Linked DNA regions of Caenorhabditis elegans. The protein of the gene in region 3 purifies or fractionates together with the protein of the main gene of each other region. This does not show direct contact. Each region holds a gene or a part of one and is shown on either strand. Other genes may lie near its edges.

Region 1 (3,435 bases), on a different chromosome or scaffold from region 3:
GTAAAATGTTGACTGGGCAAAGATTGAGCAAGACTTGGACAAGACATAAGCAAGACTTGAGGAAGACTTGGACATGACCCCTCCCAAGTCTGATCCAACTTTTTCTCATATTTTAACCAAGTTCAAACTTCACCTCACCGTAGCCCTAGTTTTGTCCTATGTGTGCCTAAATCTGATCCAACGGTCTAATTTAATACGAGATTCCGAAATTCATATGAAATCGAAATTTTTAATAGATTCTGTAGGATAATCGTTGAAAAAATTTTCAGTGTGAGCTTAAACGTTCCATCACAAAAGAAAAAGGATTGAACGTCGAATTGGGCCAACGGGGAGTCAGCCTGTCTGTCGGTCAGCGTCAACTTTTCTGTCTTGCCCGAGCAATGATCCACCGATCCAAAATTCTTGTTATTGATGAAGCAACCGCAAATGTTGATGGAGTGACAGATGCTTGCATCCAGAAAACAATTCGAGACTTTTTCAAAAACGCCACAATCATCACGGTGGCCCACCGTCTTCACACCATTATGAACAGCGATAATGTAATGGTAAGTGGTTTCTCAACAAGCAAACAATGCCTAGGTTCGCAACTTGCAGGTGTTTGAAAAAGGAGAGCTCGTCGAGTTTGACAAACCGATCACTTTGCTGGATGATCAGAGCTCGCTGTTTTCAAGAATGGCTGCTCAATCAGGGGCTGAAAATTTTGACTCCCTTCGGGCGGCTGCATTGGCCCATGCAATCGATGATCAGTCATCGTATACGGATAATAGTTAAAGTTTCATTAAATTTCCATGTTTTCTAAATATTCAAATCATAACTTGTTTCACTTTCACATCATTTTATAGCAATTCAATTGTTCAATGTCACCTTTTCAAAGGGAATCGAGATTGTTTTTATTTCACTTTTTATTCCATCATTCCATTGAGCACAATAATTCCTTGTTCATACCATGATCTAAGATCATTTCGGTTTTGGCCCAGTGATCGCATCGTCCACATCGTGTAGCTTTATATGTGTCGAATTTAATTTTTCTTTGGTAATATCAGCAATTTTGTTCTGTGGTTTTTTTCTGACTTTCATGATTCTAATCGAAACATGTATTTCATGCAAGCTATTCTTTTCTCCATCCCCCTCATTTTTTTCCAATAAAGAAACTCTGTTATTTTTCTGTTTTTATTTTGTGCTCTGTGTTTGCACTGTCCCATGGAAATAAGCAGACCATTTCTGTGACGAGTGTCTGATAAAAACTTGTCAAGAGTGAGGAAGAGAGCCGTCTAGAAAGCAATGAGCAAATCTTCAAATGCCAAAAATGGCAATCTCGAGTGCTTCACCATTTGCTCTAATTAGAAATTGATCGAGCGACAAATGCGGGCTCTCGAGTGATTTGGCGGAGCTTTGGAACCAGGTGCGAATCGCGTTTTTGTCGGACTTTCAAGAACGCCCCACATGTTGGGCGCTCTACAAAAAAAGACGGTCAGGTATATAAAGCACAGAAAACAGCAGAACAGAGCGCACCCGTCGACCTCCCGCTAGCACCTGAGGCAATTCAAAAACCAACCCGCACCTTTTCGTGCGTCGAGTGCTCTATTCAATTTGCACTCATCTGTGTTTTATTCTAAACATTCGATACACCCAGGTTGCGGCCAGTTCCAAAAAAGTTTCCAAGTGAAGATTTCAACAAAAATTCTGTTAACGATGAATTTCCGTTTTATTCTACTATTCTTAATATTCCCTTTTGTTTTTGCAAGTTTAGAAGAATTTGAGCAAGATAGCGCTGAAATTAAAAAAGAAGTGGTATTTTTTTGTTTACTTGTGTTTGTTTTGATTTAGTTTATTTTTTAGCCTGCTCGTTTTCGATCTTTCAAAAACTTTGGTAGCCATCAAGATGCCAGTAATCAAGCTGCAGAAGTAGCTGGCTCGAACGAAGATAACACTGATGACCCTGAAGTTGCACCGGATGCTCCATACCTTATGGCAGATTCTTCTCTAGAACAAGAAGAAGAATGCGTTGCTCTTCCGAATCGAACACGAGTTCGTCCGTCGTTTTTCCAGTGTAAAGAAGGTACAGTACTTCTAGTAAAACAGAGCCCTAAATACCAAAAATTGTAGACACAAAGTTTGAACTTCACGGCGGTGCAATTACAAACGGCAACGGTGATGATACCTACCCGGTTTCCTTCAACTCGCCTATTCGAATTTTCCTCGACATCACCAGTAATTCTAACAAACGATATGACAATTTGGGCGTCGAAGTGTCAATCTTTAAACGTTCAACCGGATGGTTCGGATGTGGGTGGATGTTTTTACCAAGCTTTGGGCTGTTGTAAGTTGTTTTCTTTGCAGAACACCGAAAAACATTGAATGTTTTTTTAAGGAGCAACTATGATATGTGTGACGACAACCCGTCATGTCCGGTGACTCCGGGACGTCAGGTTATCGAATTCGAGATTGATCCAACAAAGTTGTTTACGAATCTGTTCCGAATGATTCACTATGACTTGGTGGGTACTGACCATAAGGTAAACGCGATGGCTATTGTACTGGAGAGCCGTTGACGGACGCTTAGCAAATACGTTTTTTTTTCTTAAATTGAAATATTAAAAAGAAATCCACTTCTTCAGTATACTTCAATTTTTCAGTCCGCCTACCAAATGATGGTTCGAGTCCGAGACAATCGAGATCCCTACCGAGAGTTGCTTTGTGCTACGATCCAAACTAGAATCACACTCTGAGACCAAGACACTTTTTATTTATTTATTACCAAGATCCTTATCAGCAGTATTTATGAACGATAACCGGGACGCAACCCAATTAATTTAATTCCCCTTCCCTACCTTCTCCCCCAGTGAACACCAGAACCAAGTGGTTTCTATTCATCCAGTTGTTTATGATTATGACTCTCTGTTACAGGTTATCAAAAAATGAATAATATAGTATATTCTGTTTTGATATGTGGGAATGGTCTGGAACAACTAAGGTGCATGTGTGAATAACAAGAATTGAAAATCACATGGGATCCGGCTTTCGTTAGATCTCTGTTTTGACACATGTTTATCTCGAGTAATAACGCTGAAAATTCCATAATTCCATAATCATTCTGCTGAGAGAGTAAATTAATTTCTTGCTACTCAGCGGAGAAAACTTCCAGAGGAATTAATTAGTCAAAAAGAAAAACAACAAACAAATAATATTTGTTGAGTAATGTACACTACTTGCAAAACTTTTGTCGACCAATGAGCATCAAATGCAATATGTTAAGCGATTAACATTAACGAAACTTTAAAAAATATGTATATAAACCTGATCGTTGAGAAAAAAGTAAATAACACCGGGGAAAGTGCGCGGGAATGGTGATAATGAAGTGGAAGCGTTGTTCGGGATAAGACCAGTAGCTGGAATGCAGTCTAGTATAAGAAACCTTTTGCTAACCTTTTACAC
Region 2 (5,310 bases), on a different chromosome or scaffold from region 3:
TTATACACTAATTAATGCCAGAAACTTATTCGCAACATTGGCACACATGAAGCAATAATTAATAGGCACACACGGTTTTCAGTGAAATTCCTCAATTATTCTAAAACGGGGGACCAACCGAGAAATTTGCAAAAATGCGCAACTTTAAGTCTTTTGCACAACTATTCCCACTATACTACTAACTTACTCTAATTGCTTGATGTTTAAGCAATAAAATAACAGAAAAATAACATAGTATGATATATTGCATAAAAGAAGATAGGACCGCCACCAAGCAGTCGAAGAAGGCAGAATGAGTGATTTCTTCTTCAGAAAATGGGCGGGTTTGTGGCTTCTCTGACTCTCTCAAAAGCTCAGAATGTGTGACGTTAGAGCTAGAGATTATTGAAATGTAGGAGGTTTTGAGAGATTAGCAAAAAAGGAAAAAAGGATTAGAAATGTTTTCAAGCTCTTCTTTATGCCAAGATCATGAAACGAAAGACTTGTTTGAGAAGAGGGAAATAAGATTATGAAATTATGAAAAAAGATGGAAAATAAATAGTTTTAATTGTATTTCAATCATGCTTCAATTGGCCAACTCTTGTGTTCAAATTTAAATTAAACAAAAAAATTATTATGCTGTTTCACGAATACTATATGAACAGAGGCATTTTCTCTGTTTTGATATTGAAACTTCAGCTGAAAAAAAGATCTCGTAAAAACAGTCTTGATCATGAATTAAACTAATCTCTTCTTGTTAATGTTAGTAATGATAGAAAAATATTGCCTGAACTTTGTGGTTCCACTTATTTTAACTTATAAAATAGTGAAACGCATCTAGTAATTCGAAGAAAAAGCAAACTCTCTATTGAGGTTTTCAACAAAATCACAAAGTTGGCAATCACATTTTTTTCCAAATTCCACAAAATTGATGAGTAGGTTTTATCGGACACCTAATATAATTGCTCAAGTCAGAGCAAACCTATTATTATTATCAGTAATTTCAAGTTTTGGTAGTTCAGCCAAAATTGATTTCGGGAAAACTATGAAACCGCTAAAAATGTTTACATCAAAGTCTAAACTGCAAAAATGTTGGAAAATATTGTAAAAGTATGAAATATTGAAGTTAAAGTGCTAATAATTTTTAATTTAATTTTAATTTAATTTAATTTTTATTTTGACCAGTACGCTCCTGGAAATGTGTTACCCCCACTTTCGCCAAAACTGTATTTAGAAATTTTTTAGCGTATTTTTATTTAAAAACATGTTTTACACTTATGGAAATAATACTAAATTTTTTATTATCCACTACGTTGTTTTAAACTATTTACTTGTCCACATTCTCTCTCCGAGCCCACTTTAAAACAAGGAAACATGAATTTTCTGTAAAATTTCAGTTAATTTCCTCTGACCCTTTTTACAAACACCAGCTAATTACAATCTACTACGATAATTTTAAAAGACCATTCCTCCCCCTATTTATACAATACCACCACGCTGTAGTCAGACTGTCTTCGATCTCTGCGTCTCTCAATTACTTTCTATTTTCTTTGTTTTTGATAAGACTACACTCTTCCTACCCAGTACATATGCAATTGCTTTTGTCTTAATTTTGTTCAGTTTATTTTAACATATATTCTGCTGAAAATAAAATGAATCTTTTGAATTTAAAGGATTTATTTAGTAAATTTTTCAGTTTCAGATCAAAAATGAGTGCTCCTTTAATTGACAAATACCGGAAAATGGCAACTTTCGACTGGAAAAAATTGAAAGCAGCCGTTGAAGGAGAAGAACATGTTAGACTGAAGGTATAGTAGATTTTGGATTTATAAAATATTTATATATATTTCAGTCAGAAGTAGTTGCTAAAATGAAGTCAGAACCAGTATTTCACAGAGATTATCGAGTATTGAGTAGAGAAGAGCAAAGAGAAGTTGTTCATCAGAGATGGAAGAAAATTGTCGAATGGGGGTTGTTCAAAGATGTATTTCTTATTAAATTGTAGATTTTCAATATATTCGAATATTCAGCCGTACTCCGATCTTGAAAACTTCCATGCATTGACTGAAACTCTTGAAGCTTATGATCAAGGCACATCTGCAAGGCTTTTCCTCCACGGAAATGTTTTTGGAGCAGCTGTTAAGTCAATGGGAACAGATAGACATAAGGATTTGATTCAGAAAACTGAAAACAATGAGGTGAATTTCAAAGAAAATAGCATACAAAATTAAGAAGTACTCAAGAAAAAGAAAAATCAAAACAAATTTGAAAATAATTTATTCTAAAGAAATTTAAACAAAAGCGCATTGTATTCAAATCTGGAAAGTTTAGGTTTCCTTGCAAAATAGCAAATTTCAGATCGTCGGAGCATTTTGTCTGACAGAAGTAGGCCATGGTTCAAACACTGCTGAAATTCAAACAACAGCTACATTTGACAATGGAGAACTTGTTTTCAATACTCCAAGTGTCAGTGCAATCAAATGTTGGGCTGGAAATCTCGGTGGGTTTTAAAACATTTTTAATTTTAAATTTAAAAAAATCCATTTTTTTAGCTCACTCGGCCACTCACGTAGTTGTTTATGCTCAACTTCATGTCGAAGGAAAGAACGAGGGATTTCATGGATTTGTGATTCAAGTTCGTTGCCCTAGAACTTTCCAAACTCTACCAGGAATTACCATTGGAGACATGGGCTCGAAACCAGGATGCTGGCAGGGAGTAGAAAATGGCTGGATGGAGTTTAAGAACCATAGAGCTCCTCTGAGTGCACTTTTGAATAAGGGTTGTGATATTACTCCGGATGGAAAATATGTGACAAGTTTCAAATCTGCAAGTGAGAAGCAGAGTGTCAGTTTGGGAACATTGTCAGTTGGAAGGTATGTTTTCAATACTTTACGACGCCGGCCGTATAGAAAAATTTTTTAATTGAGTGAAATTTGTATCTAAAAGAATTTCTGTTAAAAAAATCAGGTTCTGAAGAATTTCTAGCCGCTGTTTTACCAACTTTTTAAATGTGTTGTTTTTTTCTCAGTTTTAGTAGATACAAGATGCAAATTTCACGGCCGAGCCTTATTATCAATAAAAGCAAAATCTCAAAACGAATCTATTCCAGCTTTAATCGATACTTTTAAAATATGAATTGATTTTCTAGAGTGAAGCCATTGTATTTAATACAAATAGAAATAATGGAAATGGCATTCTTAGGACAATTCGAAATTGTAAAAGCAGACGAATTCATAAAGTTGGGAAAACAGTGCAATCTATAAGTTTTTCCGATTGATTTTTTTCAAACAAAATACTGTTTCAAAATTCAAACTTTACCAACAATGGTTTCACAATAACACAAATTTCAGACTCGGAATTATCGCAAAAGGAATGATGGCTTGCACTTTTGCATCTACAATTGCTATTCGATACAGTGTTGCTCGGCGACAGTTTGGACCAGTAAAAGGCGGTGAGCACCATTCCTTTTCTCAATTTCTCAACTTTTGTATAATTCAGCTGAAAATGAGATCCCAGTTCTCGAGTATCCACTTCAACAGTATCGTCTATTCCCGTACCTATCCGCTGCAATTTGCATTAGAATATTCCAGAAGAAGTGGGAACTCTAAACAAATTGTTTTCAATAATTAGTTAAACTTTATAGGTTTGTCGGACATTTCACTGAATATATGATGAGAGTCATAATGGGAGAAAAGTCAGACGAGCTCTCCGAGTTCTCAAAAGAAGTACATGCATTGTCGTCTGGAGCTAAACCGGTTGCAACGTGGCTTGGTGTAGAATCCCTTGGAGAAGCTAGAAAAGCTTGTGGAGGTCATGGGTATGTTTCCTAACATAACCTGAAACTTAACTTTAAGAAACTCATTTTTTGAGAATTCGTCTTTCTATTTTTTCCAGATTAAAGTTAAAATTTAAATTACAGATACCTACAAATGTCACGATTGAACACCCTCCGAGATGACAACGATCCATCACAAACATTTGAAGGAGAAAACTTTATGATTTTGCAACAAACCAGCAATATTTTGCTAGGAAAAGTAAACTTAATTGTCAGATTCTTTAATCATATTGAGATTCTGATGTTCAGGCTCAATCAATTGGATCCATTGAGACCCCGATGTCTACTATGTCATTCTTGAATCAAAAACCTTCAAAGTTCTCATCATGGTCTTCGAATCCAGTTAATGACGTGTTGTCTGCGTACCGATATCTCACTTATCACTTACTTCAAACAACTTCGGCAGAAGCTTACAGACTAAAAGCATCTGGAAAGAATTCATTCGAAGTTCGAAATGAAATTCAAATTCATAGAGCTGTCAATTTGTCTGTTGCATACACAGAACATACAATGATCCATTGGGTTCAACAGTTCTTGAAAGAAATTGAAGATCAAAGTGTGAAGCCGGTTCTTCAAAAAGTTTTGAATCTTTTCTCACTTTTCCTTTTGGAAAGACATCTTGCAACTCTTTATATTACTGGATATGCTTCTGGTGGAAAGTTTGGAGAAGATCTTCGAGAGAAGCTTAGACTCGCTGTAGCCGAATTAAAACCCGAGGCCATTGCTTTAGTGGACTCGATTGCTCCAGATGATTTCATTTTACATTCAGCTCTGGGAGCATCTGATGGAAAGTCAGTTTTAAAATGTAAAGGTTTCTGCTGAACTTTAAATTTGATTTTCAGAGCGTACGAGCATATAATGGAAGAATTCCGGAAGTATACAAATGAACAACCAAGATGGGTTTGCGATTTGGCTCAGTTTTTGCAAAAGAGATCACAAGGATCCAAGCTATAATATTTCACAAACTGTATATTTCCCAATAAATCCAGTTTTTGAATAAATTCAAAATATACAAACAATTTCAAATTTCTTTGAAAGCTAAAATTTTTGCAAAAAATAAAAATCTAAACGTATAAGCAAAGTTTTCAGATTTATACATATCGTCGACGTGAAACGGCAAAATTTTTTAAATGTTTAATTGAAAAAATTTATTAAAACTTTGGTACCCGGATGTCAGGAAATGCTTAAAAGGCTTCTAACACTGGAAAATAGTTTCTCATTTAGAACCAAAACGATAATGTTGCGTTAGTTTAAATGAATTTATATGATTAATGTGAAACGGGGAAAATTTAAAATAGTGATAGCGCCCACGGGGAAAATGTTTAAAACTATTTATTAAGTGCCAAAAATCATTGTAGAACTTTCACAATGTATTTATAAAATAATATTTATATGAAATAACACCAAAATTTAATTTATTTCCACGCCAATTTCTAATTTTACTTTAAAAACTGTTCTCACAATATTATTGTATCAATGTTGTCGCGAAGTCGAT
Region 3 (3,669 bases):
TAATAAATATTAATTTATTTATTTATTTTTTTTTTTTTTATTTTTTTTTAAATCATACCTTTTATAAGAATTATCATACCTTTATCATTATCACACTTCCACTGATGATAAACCTGCTGACCTATTAAACCAAATTCTACAGGTTCACCGAACGGACCACCACTAAGGATCTTAAAGTTATACGTATACACGAAGCCAACCAGAAGAGATATTTTTAGTTTATGACGCACCTGATAAGTACAAGTTGGCATTGTCAAATTGACATTATAGCTTATTGTAGAGATTTCATCCACGGATATGTTGTTTGCAACAGTGACTTGGCTCTCCCGGTACAAGCACAACAAATTATAAGTTCTATCCACTTTTGTGATAAAATATGGCTGAAACAGAAAGCGATAAGGAAATATGTTTTATTATAAATAACTAACGTGAAATGAAATTGTGATTGTCGTTCGAACAGCAAGTCCCTTTGGATTCAATACTCGCTGTCTCAGTGCACCACATAATCCTATTTCAATTTCCAAGAAAGCTGAAAGTCTTCCAGTTCCTCTTGATGTACACACTTCTTCCGACGCAAAATCTTTAACAAAGATAACCCCAACAAATGGTTTTTCAGTTTTAATTTGAACTGATATAGTTCTCGAGTCACATTCAACTTGGACATCTCCTGAATATTTTGAAGCAGAGATAAATTTATTACTGAAAATAGTTACCGTATAAAGAATTTTGAATAGGAACAGGATTTACAGCCAGAGTAGCTAGGAGAAGCTGTAGGACAAGATGCATGTCTTCCAAATGACAATCATACTTTGATGATTCTGAGATCAAGAACCCTTTAGGAAAATAGTCCTCAAGTGTTCTTCTTATTTCTTTATTGTCCATATCTTAAACCGAGATATTAGATTGCAGAATAGGTTGTATCCAAGAATAGAGGGGAATTAATGGAGGAGCACTGTGAATAACCAGCTTTTATATTCCATAGAATTTTGGTTTCATGTTTATTGAAACCCTTTGTTTCAATATCAAACTGCTCCTGGAGGAATAATACTTTCCAACTTTTCCAGACATCTTTTCTTAAAAATTACCGTAATCAATTCCAACGATGCTCCGATATTTCGCAAGCGCGTGTTGTTTAGCCATTCCAAATAATCAACCAATTTTGTTTGTTTTTTGTTTTTTTTTTTAATTTATTTTATTGCTATTCGTTTTTTATTTGTTGTTTCATATATATATTAATTTTCCAAACTTGTCGTTAGTGTTTTGAATACCACAATACAATGAGGTTTTGCTATTTCCAACATTAATTCTCTGGCAAATCTCTGCGTCTCGCCCAATCCAAATTTTCGGTATTTTTTCGATGTAAAACAGAAAAGGAACTTTTAAAGTAAAATAATTTCGAATTCAAATAATGTATAGTTTTCTTTTCAAATTTTATTTTTATAATCCTCATGCTTATTGCATAATTCCAAACATCAGTTTCTCTGGCACCAATGAAACAAAATTCACAGATTATTTTTCTTAAAGAAAACTGTCCAAAGAACACTTTTACTTCTTTAAAAGTGAGGGAATAACTTTTGCTGTCCGCTCATTCCTGATGCGACTGACCTCGATTCAGGCCGCATCGACAAGTTGTCTCTTTCTCTAACCCCTTTGCATCTTTCTTTTTCTTGTACAATTCTTAGTCCACAGTCGGTATATGCCATTTTATCGTTCTAAATTAGAACTTCTAATCTTTCAAAACTTGCACTTTTTGCAATTTTCTCAGTGCTATATATTCAAATTCAGAGAAAAATGTCGGATTCGTTTGCCAATGTGCCAGGAGGATCACAAAAGCTCAACTCCGGATATAACATTCCATTCGTCGGATTCGGAACGTACAAAGTTACCGGAGAAAATGTTCCGCCAGCAATTGATGCAGCCCTCACTGCCGGTTATCGGATGTTTGACACGGCAAAGTATTATTTGAATGAAAAGGAATTAGGAGAAGCATTAAAGGTAAATTTTTATATTTTTATTTCAAAGATAAATTATGTTTACATTCTCTTTGTAATCAAATCTTCTTTATTCAAAATTTACAGATTCTCCTGCCTAAGCATGGATTATCTCGTTCTGATGTGTTCCTGACATCCAAATTCTTCCCAGAAAGCAAAAATTGTCGAGAAGCTTGCCGTGGATTTGTCGAAGAATCTCTACAATCTCTTCAAACCGACTATATCGATATGTATCTTGTTCACTATCCAAAACCGAATGACTCTGACAATGATGATGTGAATAACGCGGAATACCGGAAAATTGCATATGAAGTGCTGGAAGAGGCTAAAGGTTTGAAAATCAGAAATCTATTGGATTTTTCATTAATTTTATTATTTTAGCTGCTGGCAAAGTTCGTTCCATTGGAGTTTCAAACTATGAAATTGTGCATTTGGAAGAGCTCAAGACATACGCCAAGGTGCCGCCATGTGCTAACCAACTGGAGTATCATCCACATTTTGCAAGAATTCCACTTCAGAAGTACTGCAAGGAAAAAAACATTTTCTTCCAGGTTAGTTTCGATATTCTGGGGAAAACTCGTTTTATATAATCAATTTACAGGCTTTCTCCTCACTTGCAAGACACGAACCAAAGTTAATTGAAGATCCAGTCGTCGTTGAATTAGCTAAGAAGCACAATACATCAGTTCCTGTAAGTTTAATTAATTCTCAGACTGTATTCAAACAATTATACCTTTTTTCAGCTTGTACTTCTCGCGTGGGCTCTCCGCCAGAATGTTGGTATCGTACCGAAGTCGGTGACCCCATCAAGAATCGTAGAAAACTTCAAAGTAATCGATATTGCTCTGACTCCAGAAGATATTCAATCGTTAACAGCTCTTGATCGTGGGCAGCACTACATTCGTTGCACCGGATGGCTCGTCAAGTAAATGGCTTATCAATAATTGCAGTTTATTTCATAATCATTTTTCCCACATTGTGATATTTCCCTCTTTCTTGTGACTCTAACATGAAATTGAAACTTTTTAATTGTATGACGTCAGTTTTCCACTCTCGCAATATTCCGCTATAATATCTTTAGTTTCGTTTAGAAAATTTTTTAAAAAAATTATTTTCAGATGTCCATAAAGTTGAACACTGGTTACGATTGCCCACTGATCGGGCTCGGAACTTATAAAATTATTGGAGATCAGGTTCTCCCAGTTCTCGACGCTGCTCTTACAGCCGGATATCGACTGTTTGACACTGCAAAAGTTTATAATAATGAGAAAGAAATTGGAGACGCATTGGAAGTTTGTACTCAAGCGTGACGGAATATTTTTAAAAATTCAAGTTTAAGATCCTTCTTCCAAAGCATAATCTGAAGAGAGAAGATATTTTTATCACTACAAAAATGCATCCCAATACCGTAGAAAATGTGAAAAAGTTGGTGGATGAATCGTTGTCATTGTTGAAAACTAGGTAAATATACTTAGCTCCTGCTCCAATTTACAGAATAATATTTTATCGATTTTCAGCTACATCGATATGTATCTCATCCATTACCCGAAGTCATTTGACTATGGAGACCAGGATCCGATGAACAAGACTCTACGAATTGCCACGTGGAATGATCTCTGGGAGTGTAAGAATGCAGGAAAGATTCGATCTGTTGGAGTTTCCAGTTTTGAAATTCGCC

Evidence for each region.
Region 1: the proteins of F53F1.2 (region 3) and ZK470.6 fractionate together in Caenorhabditis elegans (co-fractionation; one large-scale study listed by BioGRID). This does not show direct contact.
Region 2: the proteins of F53F1.2 (region 3) and acox-3 fractionate together in Caenorhabditis elegans (co-fractionation; one large-scale study listed by BioGRID). This does not show direct contact.

Annotation. Positions count from the first base shown.
Region 1 is NC_003284.9:4,175,565-4,178,999, reverse strand, and holds ZK470.6 (MD-2-related lipid-recognition domain-containing protein), read left to right. Parts: upstream 1-1,692; coding exon 1,693-1,791; intron 1,792-1,839; coding exon 1,840-2,059; intron 2,060-2,106; coding exon 2,107-2,320; intron 2,321-2,371; coding exon 2,372-2,516; intron 2,517-2,636; coding exon 2,637-2,729; 3' UTR 2,730-2,935; downstream 2,936-3,435. Other genes in the region: mrp-6 (Multidrug resistance-associated protein lethal(2)03659), read left to right, coding at 270-545, 595-771.
Region 2 is NC_003282.8:6,244,858-6,250,167, reverse strand, and holds acox-3 (Acyl-coenzyme A oxidase acox-3), read left to right. Parts: upstream 1-1,675; 5' UTR 1,676-1,688; coding exon 1,689-1,787; intron 1,788-1,831; coding exon 1,832-1,963; intron 1,964-2,009; coding exon 2,010-2,177; intron 2,178-2,337; coding exon 2,338-2,479; intron 2,480-2,531; coding exon 2,532-2,853; intron 2,854-3,014; exon of another isoform or gene 3,015-3,035; intron 3,036-3,164; exon of another isoform or gene 3,165-3,186; intron 3,187-3,330; coding exon 3,331-3,431; intron 3,432-3,478; coding exon 3,479-3,575; intron 3,576-3,623; coding exon 3,624-3,797; intron 3,798-3,899; coding exon 3,900-4,014; intron 4,015-4,064; coding exon 4,065-4,606; intron 4,607-4,657; coding exon 4,658-4,769; 3' UTR 4,770-4,810; downstream 4,811-5,310. UniProt on the Caenorhabditis elegans protein: Involved in the first step of peroxisomal beta-oxidation by catalyzing the desaturation of fatty acid-derived side chains of ascaroside pheromones, which regulates development and behavior.
Region 3 is NC_003283.11:13,405,133-13,408,801, forward strand, and holds F53F1.2 (NADP-dependent oxidoreductase domain-containing protein), read left to right. Parts: upstream 1-1,683; 5' UTR 1,684-1,791; coding exon 1,792-1,995; intron 1,996-2,078; coding exon 2,079-2,322; intron 2,323-2,372; coding exon 2,373-2,542; intron 2,543-2,592; coding exon 2,593-2,682; intron 2,683-2,724; exon of another isoform or gene 2,725-2,734; coding exon 2,735-2,920; 3' UTR 2,921-3,109; downstream 3,110-3,669. Other genes in the region: cutl-1 (ZP domain-containing protein), read right to left, coding at 80-170, 231-380, 429-667, 714-882; F53F1.3 (NADP-dependent oxidoreductase domain-containing protein), read left to right, coding at 3,110-3,283, 3,331-3,452, 3,509-3,669.